Linked DNA regions of Rattus norvegicus. The protein of the gene in region 3 purifies or fractionates together with the protein of the main gene of each other region. This does not show direct contact. Links are inferred from orthologs where the notes say so. Each region holds a gene or a part of one and is shown on either strand. Other genes may lie near its edges.

Region 1 (3,650 bases), on a different chromosome or scaffold from region 3:
CCCCCCCCCAGGTAAAATTTGACCCTTAAATTTGATATGTAAAATAAAGAATTAAATGCTTTGGAAAAATGGCAGAGGCTGAAGGCCTTTACCTACTATGGAATTTTTATAAATGCAGATTTGTTTGAAAATTGTTTCATAATAAAAGTCATTGTTATTGAGTGTAACGTGCTAAATGCTAACCCATATATATATATATATGCCTCATGTAATCATAACAATAATTCCCTACTAATAGCTTATTTCATTTACTCCTTTCTAGGAATTCATCCATTGACTGGTTTATTAAGTTGAATAAATCAAAATTCTGAAGCACAGTAGTTTTCTTAAAACATTTAGTCGTAAATTATATAGGTGAGGGCCACAGAGAAGACCTTAAACTGGGGATTCTTCTTACGAAGAATCAGGGCGATCCCTCTTAGGGGTGGTGGTAATTGGCATTATTTCTGTGGGTCCAGCCATTGCTTTGTAGAGCACGCTTGAGCTGCGCGTGCTTGGTCTGTAGGGTAAGTCAGGCGATCTGAGACCTCTCCTTTTCCATATTGTACTCGAATCTTACATTCTGTTCCTTTCAGTTTCAGAAGCTGGAGGAAGGACACAGCTCAGCCGTGGCCGCCCACTATAACGAGCTTCAGGAAGTCGGCTTGGTGAAGCGGAGTCAAAGTCGCATTTTCTACCTAAGAAACTTTAATAATTGGATTAAAAGTATTCTTATTGGTATGATCTGTTTTTGCCCTTTAGTTGGGAGATTTAAATTTCCCTGAGGTGCATTGCTTTTCACAGAGCCCAGGGCCATGCACACTGAAAGTGCTGTGCAGCTGAGCTGTCTCCACAGCCGGCTCTCTGCTCTGGGCCTTCCCTCCCAGGGTTAATCAGAAATCGAGCTTTGAAGACCATCATTTACTCTTTCCTTTGTGGCTGGCTACACTTTGGTTTCTAAAGCTAGAGAGCCAGAGGTAGGCCCTTGGGAGAAATTATTTTACTATTCGTTTTTAGTTCATTATATGGGACATTCATAATGTTTGGTTGACATTAAGCTAAACAGGCTTCCACTTGGCAGTGTCCTTTATGGTCCTAGTTAATGTTCCTCAAGGAACTAATAAGTGAAGTGCATGTTGGATTGAACATTGAGTTTATTATGCCAAGGAAAGGACAGTGTGTGTCCGTACTGGGTCACTGTCCGTTACAGAGCTTCTCTGTCTTACATGGTTTCTTGAGGAAAATGTTTACCTTGAGGACTGATAAAGACATAGTTTTGGAAGTAATATTTTCTCTATGGACACTTACCTTTAAAATTAAAATGGAAGTGAGTAAAGAAAATAAGACTTAGAATGTAAGTATTGCTTTCTCTGTCTGGTTATATCAGATTTGTAAGTTTGGAGAAATTTTAAGATTTTTTTTTTATAATGAAGTTTTTTTTTTTTTCCTTTTTGTCTGATTTTAATTCACAAAAGTACAGGTTAGTGGGATTCTGACAAGTTGATAAATTGACTTTGATGGATGCTTCTGCATTTCACCCATCATTTTATTGTTTTGGTGAATAAGTGTTAAGATTCATGACAGGACTAAAATATGGGGCACTTATGCTTCTTAGGAACACTACTTTCATATCTATACTGAAAGGCAGAAATGTTGGGAGTGAATATTTAATAGTATCCATACAAATTATAAAGTAGCAAACAGTAATAAATTAGGGGAAATACTAAGGTTCATTATTGTATTAAGTTCTAGGACTGCTGAATACCTCATGTCAGATACTGTTAATAAGCCTTTTCAACTATTTGAATATCTGCTTGTTTATGAGGTGAAAGGTTGAGTTTTTTGACACTCTTATGAGTGTAAAGAGTAAGAATCAGCTGTAGTTACCATTCCATGGCTACTTCAGTTCAAGAGGGTCACACGTACACATCATGGGAAGTGTAGAAAATGCAACTTAGTGCTTCTCTTTCCACAGATGTTACAACTTTTCTTGTTTAATTAAGCTTAAATATCACCTGCTTAACAATTCACATTTCAAAAGTGTTTTTCAAGAGATAATCGAAGCCTTTTAAAACAACACGCATACTCTTTAGGGTTAGGAATAAAGGAGCAAGTTACTTCCTCTCTTACAGTTTGGGATACCAACCTAATGTTAACTATACATTACTGTGGTACAGTCCATATGATTTGTCAGACGAAGTAGGTTTTAAAGAAGTTGCTGGGGGCTGGGGATTTAGCTCAGCGGTAGAGCACTTGCCTAGCAAGCGCAAGGCCCTGGGTTCGGTCCCCAGCTCCGAAAAAAAGAAAAGAAAAAAAAAAAGAAGTTGCTGTAATAAAATGTGTTATAATTGATTTCTCTCTTCTAGGGGAAATTTTAGAAAAGGTACGACAAAGAAAAAACCGTGACATCACTGTTTTGGACCTGGGATGTGGAAAAGGTGGAGATTTGCTCAAGTGGAGGAAGGGGAGAATTAGCAGGCTAGTGTGCGCTGGTAAGGCAGATACAAGGGGAAGAGCTGTTTGGGGGGCCAGTGTAATGGCTTGCTAGGTAAAGCACTTGCCGTGGGGGTCTGACCACCTAAGTTCAATCCCCAGAGTCCACATGAAGGAGGAGGGGCAAGTGCTTGCTGTGCACTCTCTTTCCCTTGTTCACACACACATGCGCAGTTACGGTGACCGTGATGATAGCTGAACAACTGAACACGCAGGTCTCGAAGGTCAGAATTGTTTTTGTCAGTTAGGTGAATGGGGAATTAAAGGGACCTCCTTGCCAATATGATGCTGCTCTCTGAAGGCACCTTCTCTCTGAGACCATGGATCTGATAGGTGTTGAAAAACGAGTTAAGCCTTTTCTGATGGTTTTGTAATACAGTTAATGTTACCTTGACCTCCTCAAAAGGAAGGACATATTATTACCATTATTATTTCTATCAGGTACCATATTCTTTCTGTTTGATGGATCACAGTATGTACAACAGCATTGCCTCCAAAAGTAGTTTTGGAGCACTGTCCAAATGAGTAGTTTCCTTCATTTTTGCTGTTTGATGAGCCATGTATACTAAAACAATTATTGGAGAATTGTTCATTTTATGTGTGTGGCTGAAGCTGTTGATTCTTGAACATGTTAGAAATTGAGGCTGTGACTTTTTAAATTCATACAAATAAAGTTTAATGGGAATTCTGGCAAGTTAACTTTGAGAACTGTCTCTACATTTGCCAGGTCATTTGGTTATTTTGGTGAATAAGTGGTCGTAAATGAAAGGTGGTGTTATCCTTTTCAGATAATTGTGGCTTCATCTTGGGTGAGAAGTCATGTGCACGCTGTTCTGTAAGGGGAGTTAGGTGTGGGATCTGAAGCCTGCTTATCCCCTTACTTTGACCCATTGGTCTGTCGTATATTTTCATAATGGTTTCAGCATACCTGGAAAGTACTGTTTACTGAAGTTCTCTTAGGACTGACATCAAGAAATCACATTTTCTTAATATTATATCCAGTCACAAAGGTGGTTGATACAATTTTTTTTTTCACAGAATTGTGATTTTATTTTTTTGAAAGTCAAATTTTATCTCTGGCAATGAGCACTATCCATTGTGTCCCTTAAAATGACCCTGTTCATCTTCAAAAATACATGAAGAGTTTGAGAGCCATTCTTTCAAGGTCACGTGACTCC
Region 2 (3,650 bases), on a different chromosome or scaffold from region 3:
AAAAACACTGACTGCTCTTTCCGAGGTCCTGACTTCAAATCCTGGCAACCACATGGTGGCTCACAACCATCTGTAATGGGATCTGGTGCCCTCTTCTGCTATGTCTGATGATAGCTACACTTTACTCATATAAATAAAAATTAATTAAAAAAAAAAAAAAGAGTCCTAGCAGTGTTACCTGAGACATCGCCAGATCCTTAGTAATAGTACATAAACATGGTACCAAGAAACAGTGTGATGAATAAAGTGAAGAGAGCAGAGGAAAAATTCAGGGCTCACATGAGACCTTCTGGCTGGCCCTATAGTCCCAGGACTTGGGAGGCAGAGGCCAGGCCAGCCTTGTCTACAGAGTGAAGTTCCAGGATAGTCAGAGCTCCAAAGGCAAACACTGTTGAAAAACTTAAAACAAAAACCTAAGAATGTAGTATGCACCCATCACTTAGATCTTCAAGACAGCTTTGATTTTGATTTTGTAATGAACCTTTAAAATTTAGGCAGTGGTGGTACGTGCCATTAATCCCAGAACTCGGGAGGCAGAGAGATGTGATTCAAGGACAATCTGGTCTACAGAACGAGTTCCAGGAAAATAAAGGCTACTCAGAGAAATTCTGTCTTAAAAAACAGACCAAAATAACACCTTACTCTAGTTTATAGATATGAACGAATGTAAATGAGTGTGGATACATACGAGTGCATGTATGTGCCTGTGGAGGCAGGCCAGAAGCACAGGTCTCCCTAGAGCTGGCAGGTGTACCTACTTGGAAGGAAAATGGGTCTTTGCCAAGACCAGTACTCACTCTTAACCCCTGAGCCACACTTAGCCATTGTAATAAATAATAACTAACATTAAAGACTTTGGATTAGAGTCAGGGGCTCTTTTGACAGAAGATCTCACTAGGTAGCCAAGTAAATTTGAATTTCTTTTTTTCTTTTTTTCCGGGGCTGGGGACCAAACCCAGGGCCTTGCGCTTCCTAGGCAAGCGCTCTACCACTGAGCCAAATCCCCAACCCCTAAATTTGAATTTCTAATCCTCCTACCTCCAGTTCCTGACTGAGTGTTGGGATCACATACACACACCACATACCTCATTTTAAATAGGACTTCATACATGATGGGCAAGGACTCTATCACTGAGCTAAAATTCCCAGCCCCTAACAGTATTTCTCATGGGTTAGGAGTGCTTTATTTGAATGTGAATGATTTGTGTCCAACTTCATCCGTTCTTAAAACTACATAAATCCAATGACTTCATGAAAATACCGAAAATACAAAACCAGACATTTAAGGGCCCTATGCGTAGCGTAACAATTCTACTCATTCCCTTCTCTTGGAGGCAGAGGGTGACAGGGTCATGTACATGCCAGGCAAGCTTCCTACTACTGAGCTGCACTACTGCCCACCATCTATCTTTATTGGAACTTTTACACAAAACACATGTCCCATGAGTATGAATGCCACAGCAGTCAGGAGATTAGAACAGTGTGAGGATTGTTCATAACCAAAATGTCTAAGATACTGAGGCACAACTCATTGGCTCAAGCAAGGTACTCGAGTCACTCACAGCATCAGATGGCTGCTGATGTCCTCCATGGAAGCTGTTCCACGGGGAACCAACCGGCCAAGAGGCTCACCTGTTTAGTTAGTGTCTGTGTGAGGATGGGCACCAGGTACTGCAGCGCTCCCTTGGCGTAAAATTTGCTGGTGTGCTCCGGGGGCCGTCCTTGTTCTGCTGCCTAAGGAGAAACACAAAGTAAATAAGCTCTTTTTTTTTTTTTTGGTTCTTTTTTTTTGGAGCTGGGGACCGAACCCAGGGACTTGCACTTCCTAGGCAAGCGCTCTACCACTGAGCTAAATCCCCAACGTAAATAAGCTCTTATGAATGCTACAGCCCCACAGTGAGAACTGTAACAGGTCTGTAAGGTAATGGTAATATTCACTGTGCTATTTTGGAGCTGCTGCCTATACGTTAACTTCAGTGAGTATTATATAGCATATTACATGCAGACCTATGCATTATATCCATGTGTATTACATTCCTGGATTGAGGATGAGGCTCAGCTGCTTCAGTGCTTATCTTGCATATGCAAAGCCTGTGGTTTAATCCAACACTATATGAATCAGTGGGAGAGGATCCACACTTGGGAGATTTGAGAAAGAATCAGAAATTCAGGGTCATCCCTGAATACATTGAAAAAAAATAATAATTTGACATCTAGTGCTAGAAAGATAACCCAGTTTAGTAAAATGTTTGGCAAGTTTCCTCTCCAGATCTCACATAAGAAAAGTGCGTACTGCCAAAATTGTGGTGCATGCCTTTAAACTTGGCAGGCAGAGGTATATATGCGTTCTAGGATAACTAGAGCAACATAATCCAAGGTGGAGAGAGGAGCACCTGAAGTTGTTCTGTAGTCTCCGAACACACAGGAAATGTATATTAAAATCAACCGAGTATGATATATCTTTTGGCTCAAAACTTACACAAAGATGAGGCTGCTCAAGGTTCTAAGATAGCCTTTCCCCCTATCTGACTCCTTCTCCAGAGCTAGTAAGTTGTCAATAACACATCTTGGTCCTGTACTGAGATTTCAAACAGGAAAACAAGTCGTCGTCGTCATCCCACCCCCCCACCCCAGTCAGCTGCTACTTCACTATGCTGACAACCTGCTGCCCCCTTGTGTTCACAGCAGAACTATTAGTATGAATACCTGCAACAGACAAAAGTGTGTGCTGTCTTATTACTGAGGGCATCTGGTTAACAGAAAACACACTATGTCAGACGGTCAGAACAGAACCCCTCCAGAAGAGTGATCCCCACAAAGTAAATGTGTAAAGTCCAGACACAACAGCAGCTCTTCTCAGAGAGGCGCACCCCAGGCTCACCTCTGAAGCCTCAATGGCCAAATCCATTTCCTCATCACAGACATTGGACCAGAACTCTATCCCTTGGAGAGCTACCTCATCAATGTCACTTTTCATTGCTTCAATTGTGATCTGAAAGGAGAAAAAGACACCGTAGACACCAAGTAAGTACAAACTCAAGTTAGACATCCTTTTGACCAGACATTCAAGATTGAAAAAAATACAGTTAGAGGGGCCTGGAGAGATGGCTCAGTGGTTAAGAGCACTGACTGCTCTTCCAGAGATTCTGAGTTCAAATCCCAGCAACCATATGGTGGCTCACAACCATTTCTAATGGGATCTAATGCCCTCTTCTGGTGTGTCTGAAGACAGCAACAGTGTACTTACATACATAAAATAAATAATTCTAAAAAAAAATTAATAAAGCCATTTGTGAAGTAGTTGGATACAAAAAACAAAAACTTAAAAAAAAAAAAAAAACCTTGCAAAATATCAGTTAAAATACCTTTTAAGACCTGAATGCGGGGTTGGGGATTTAGCTCAGTGGTAGAGTGCTTGCCTAGCAAGCGCAAGGCCCTGGGTTCGGTCCCCAGCTCCGGAAGAAAAAAAAAAAAGGAGGGAAAACAAAAAACAAAAAGAGCTGAATGCACGCCTCTAAATCATTCCTAGCACTACTCAGCACTCAGGAGGCAGAAGCAGGTACATCTCCGTGTTCAAGGCTAGCCCGGTCTACAGTGAGTTCCGGAACATCTAGGGTTACAGAGGCCCTGTATGCGGTGGTGGTGGTAGA
Region 3 (4,219 bases):
TAGAACTAGAGTGATGCATGGCTGTAAACCACTCTGTAGGTGCTAAAACCCAAACCTGGGTCCTCTCCAAGAGCAGTAAGCACCATGAACAGCTCAGTCATCTCTCCAGCCCCAAATTTAAGTTAAAGGATGAACAAAAACTCAGTGGCTAAAGCACCTGCTGAACCACCATGGGAAGCTGAGTCTCAGTCCCTAGTACTTATACTATCGTCCCAGTGCTACGACGGGCAGATTGGAGGGAGACGGGCTGGCACATGCAGCACAGACAGACCCAGGAGACCCAGGCTCAGCCACGGTTCACAGTGAGGACTGACACTCGGAGGCTGTCCTCTGACTTCCACTTGCATGCCATGCCATGCACAAGCACATATGCGTCTCAAACAACCAAGCAAGGAAAACCATAGGGAACAGAAAGTTACAACCCCAATATGAATAAAAATGACACTTGGTTTAATTTTTAGAAAAGAATTAAGAAATTGTTTTTCCTTTCTCAAAGTTTCCAACATTTCTTTAGAAGCAGAACCCGGAAGGCTGGGGACATGGATTAATGAGTAAAATGCTTGTGAAGCAAGCATGAAGACCAGAGTTCAGATCCCCAATATGGAAGTTAGGTGTAGCAGTTCACAGTTATAATCCCAGCATTTAGGAGGCAGAATTCTAGAGGACACTGGCCAGTCAAGCCAATCAGTGGGTTCCAGGTTCAGTGATGGAAGTTAAGACGGACAGCAACTGGGAAAGACTGTAGTATCAATGTCTGGACAGACATACACACATATACAGTTTGCACACATGTGTACCCACTTACAAAACAAACAAGGAAGCAAATTAGATGACTAGCCTGCTACCTAGATAAACTATATTTCCTTATGCCGGCATTTCTCAACCTATGGGTTGAGATCCCTTTGTGGGTAGGGGTTGCCTAAGACCATCAGAAAATACAGATATTTACAGTATGATTCATAAGTTACGAAGTAGCAATGAAATACTTTTATGGTTGGGGTCACCACAACATGAGGAACTGTATTACAGGGTCACAGCATTAGGAAGGGTAAGAGCCGGGGTTGGGGATTTAGCTCAGCGGTAGAGCGCTTGCCTAGCGAGCGCAAGGCCCTGGGTTCGGTCCCCAGCTCCGGGAAAAAAAAAAAGAGAGAGAGAGAAGCAGATTGCTGAGGAAGGGTGAGGGCCACACTGCCCCAGGCAGAAGGATGAAGGGTAAGGGTCACCCCTGAAGCTGGCCAGTGCCCCCATGGGTCCTCCTGAGAACACTCAGGTAACTTACTTGCTGCTCCCGCTTCTGTTTCCGAAGCTGAATGCCCTCTTCCTCCCTTCTTCGTCTCATTTCCTCAGGGTTTAAGGCATTGTTCTTATAGCTCTTCATTCGATAATTGTCTTTCCCTGGGCTTGCCATGGTCTCTAGAAGGGAAGAGATTGTCAAGAGTTGTGAGCGCAGCAGTTCCTTTCCACACAGGATCAAAATGAGAATAGAGATAAAGAGAAAACGTAGGAAGATGGCAAACACCTTCTCAGCCGGAAAAGAAATGGGATGAAGGGGTTGGGGATTTAGCTCAGTGGTAGAGCGCTTGCCTAGCGAGCGCAAGGCCCTGGGTTCGATCCCCAGCTCCAAAAAAAAAAAAAAAAGAAATGGGATGAAGAAGGAGAAAAGAGTCTCTGGTTAGTCTCTCTAGGAGCTTTGGAAGTTCACTTAGCAAAGTCCATGAAGATTATTATCTTGAGAGGGGGGAGGGGCTGCCGAGGAGATGGCTCAGTGGTTAAAAGCATTTGCTGCTCTTGCAAAGAACCCAGGTTCAATTCCCAGAACCCATATGGTGGCTGACAACTATCTGTAAACTCTAGCTCCATGGCATGGGATCCAATGCCACTTTCTAACCTCTGAATGTACCAGGCACATCAGTACACTCATAAAGTAAAACTAAATAAATCCTAAAAAAACCAAACAAAACAAAAAAAACAAACAAAACAAGAGAAGTTGGAGAAATGATTAGTGGTTAAGAGCACTGGCTGCACTTGGGGAGGACCCAGGCTAAGTCCCCATCACCCACATGATGGCTTACAACCATCTGTAGTTTAGTTCAGTTCCCATCACCCACATGATGGCTTACAACCGTCTATAGTTCTAGTTCCAGGGCATCTGATGCCTCTTCTGCCTCTCCAGGTTTCTACACACACATGGGACATCAGGTATATAGAAACACAAGCACATGCACATTAAAAATAAAAATAGGGGCTGGAGAGATGGCTCAGCCCCTATTAAGAGCACTGACTGCTCTTCCAGAGGTTCTGAATTCAATTCCCAGCAACCACATGGCTGACACCATCTGTAATGGGATCCAGTGCCCTCTTCTGGTGTGTCTGAAGACAGCTACAGTGTACTGTTTTAACTATATTTAAGAACAAAAAATAAACAGTAAGCAAGAAAGCAAGCCATCAAATGAAAACGGTTCAGTAGTAAGCGATGGTTTTGCTGCCAAGCCTCAGGACCACGCTCTATTACCAGGATCCACACAGTTGAAGGAGAGAATCAATTATTGCAAGCTGTTCTTTGACTTCCACATGCACAGTATGTGTGAACACACACACACACACACACACGCACGCACGCACGCACGCACGCACGCACGCACGCACGCACGCACGCACACGCACACGGATCTACAGTGACCTCTCCTATGGGTCCCTACACAGGTGGAGGAGAGACTACTAAAGGCAAGCCCCTGTGGAATGCTGCCCTTTAGTACCTGACACATAGTTTTTCATGATTGAGCCTGTGCTGTCCCAGAGGCTGTCCTCTCCTTTGAGCACAGTTGACAGTTAAACTGAAATAGGAACCACATTGCTCCTTTAGTTACCATGGTGATAAGTAACTATCACACAATATCTACTTATGACTTCACTGGAGAAGCAGGCAACAAAGAATGGAAGGACGAACATCTGCAGAAGCACATGAGAAAACCGTTACTACAGACCCTCCCACCTCAGAGACGGCGATGCTTTGTTCCCACTGACTTAAGAGCGCCCCACTTCAGTCAAACCTGATTCTGAGGAACTCATTTTCTCAATACATAATTTCTTGTATAGTAAATTCTCTTTATAGACCAAAGTCCAAACAAGAACAAATCTAAAGTTAATAGGTGAGCCGACATCTCCAACATTAGAATAATCAAATAAAAAACCTCCAGAGTACAAAGTCAGCTGTAATGTTGAGACGTGAAGGGTACGACAATAACACACGAACAAAGCCAAACACTCAGAGTTGTTCTTCTAAAACATACTTTGCCTATTCTTACCAAAGACAAAACCAGACTGGCCTAAACTTTATGTATACCTACTTATTACTATGAACAAATACACAGTTCTTAGCAAAAATTTGCTATTATAGCCAGGCAGATCTCTGTGACGTCCTGTCTTAAAAATAAAAATAACTAAAATTGTCATGCCCTGTATTGTGCAAGCCTTCAACTTCAACACATAGGAGTCAGAGGCAGGTGGATCTCGGAGTTTCAGGACAGCCTAGGCTACATAGAGAAGCCCCATTTAAAAAAATTACACACACACACACACACACACACACACACACACACACACACACAGAGTTCATTAAAATATTAGCCATTTATGGCTCATGCTCCCTCTAACTCCAGCATTAGGAACGAGGCAATAGCAATACCAAAGTTCAAGGCCGGCTTGGGCTACACACTGAATGTCAGAGACTGAGCTATGGTTTAGAACATCTGAAGAAGAAAACAACTGAAGAGCAAACAAAATTAATGAACAAAAGCATCCATGTTTGTGGATCAGAAGAATTATTAGTTAGAATGTCCCTACTACACACTCAATGTAATTGCCATGAAATCTTCCTGCCCACCTGATCTTTACACGTGTTCTAGGATCTGAACTCAAGTTCTCACACCCATTCAGCAAGCACTTCACTTACTGGGCTATCTCCAACCTCACTCTCATTCTCTTCATGTGTTCCTTGAAATATGGAAGCTTACATTTTAATTAAGTCTAACTTATACGTGTGTATTTTTGTTGTTGCTATTGTTTGTTTCATATGTTGATTTAGGCTGGTAAAGCATTAAAGCATTTTGTTTCCTTGATTTGAAACACACATTTCACACGTAGCTTATGCAAGCTTCAAACTCACCACCTAGCACTCAGGAGACGGAGATAGGTGAATCTCTGTGAATTTGAGGCCAAC

The links.
Region 1: the proteins of Kpna6 (region 3) and Rnmt purify together in Homo sapiens (co-immunoprecipitation; 3 studies listed by BioGRID and IntAct, counting the BioPlex papers as one, with this or other methods). This does not show direct contact. The link is inferred for Rattus norvegicus from reciprocal best matches to the Homo sapiens genes KPNA6 and RNMT.
Region 2: the proteins of Kpna6 (region 3) and Kpnb1 purify together in Homo sapiens (affinity purification with mass spectrometry; 4 studies listed by BioGRID and IntAct, with this or other methods). This does not show direct contact. The link is inferred for Rattus norvegicus from reciprocal best matches to the Homo sapiens genes KPNA6 and KPNB1.

What each region holds. Positions count from the first base shown.
Region 1 is NC_086036.1:64,162,537-64,166,186, forward strand, and holds part of Rnmt (mRNA cap guanine-N7 methyltransferase), read left to right. Parts: intron 1-575; coding exon 576-717; intron 718-2,345; coding exon 2,346-2,471; intron 2,472-3,650. UniProt on the Homo sapiens protein: Catalytic subunit of the mRNA-capping methyltransferase RNMT:RAMAC complex that methylates the N7 position of the added guanosine to the 5'-cap structure of mRNAs. Binds RNA containing 5'-terminal GpppC.
Region 2 is NC_086028.1:82,657,222-82,660,871, forward strand, and holds part of Kpnb1 (importin subunit beta-1), read right to left. Parts: intron 2,993-3,650; coding exon 2,882-2,992; intron 1,735-2,881; coding exon 1,633-1,734; intron 1-1,632.
Region 3 is NC_086023.1:147,287,955-147,292,173, forward strand, and holds the start of Kpna6 (importin subunit alpha-7), read right to left. Parts: upstream 2,804-4,219; 5' UTR 2,776-2,803; coding exon 2,757-2,775; intron 1,414-2,756; coding exon 1,280-1,413; intron 1-1,279. UniProt on the Homo sapiens protein: Functions in nuclear protein import as an adapter protein for nuclear receptor KPNB1. Binds specifically and directly to substrates containing either a simple or bipartite NLS motif.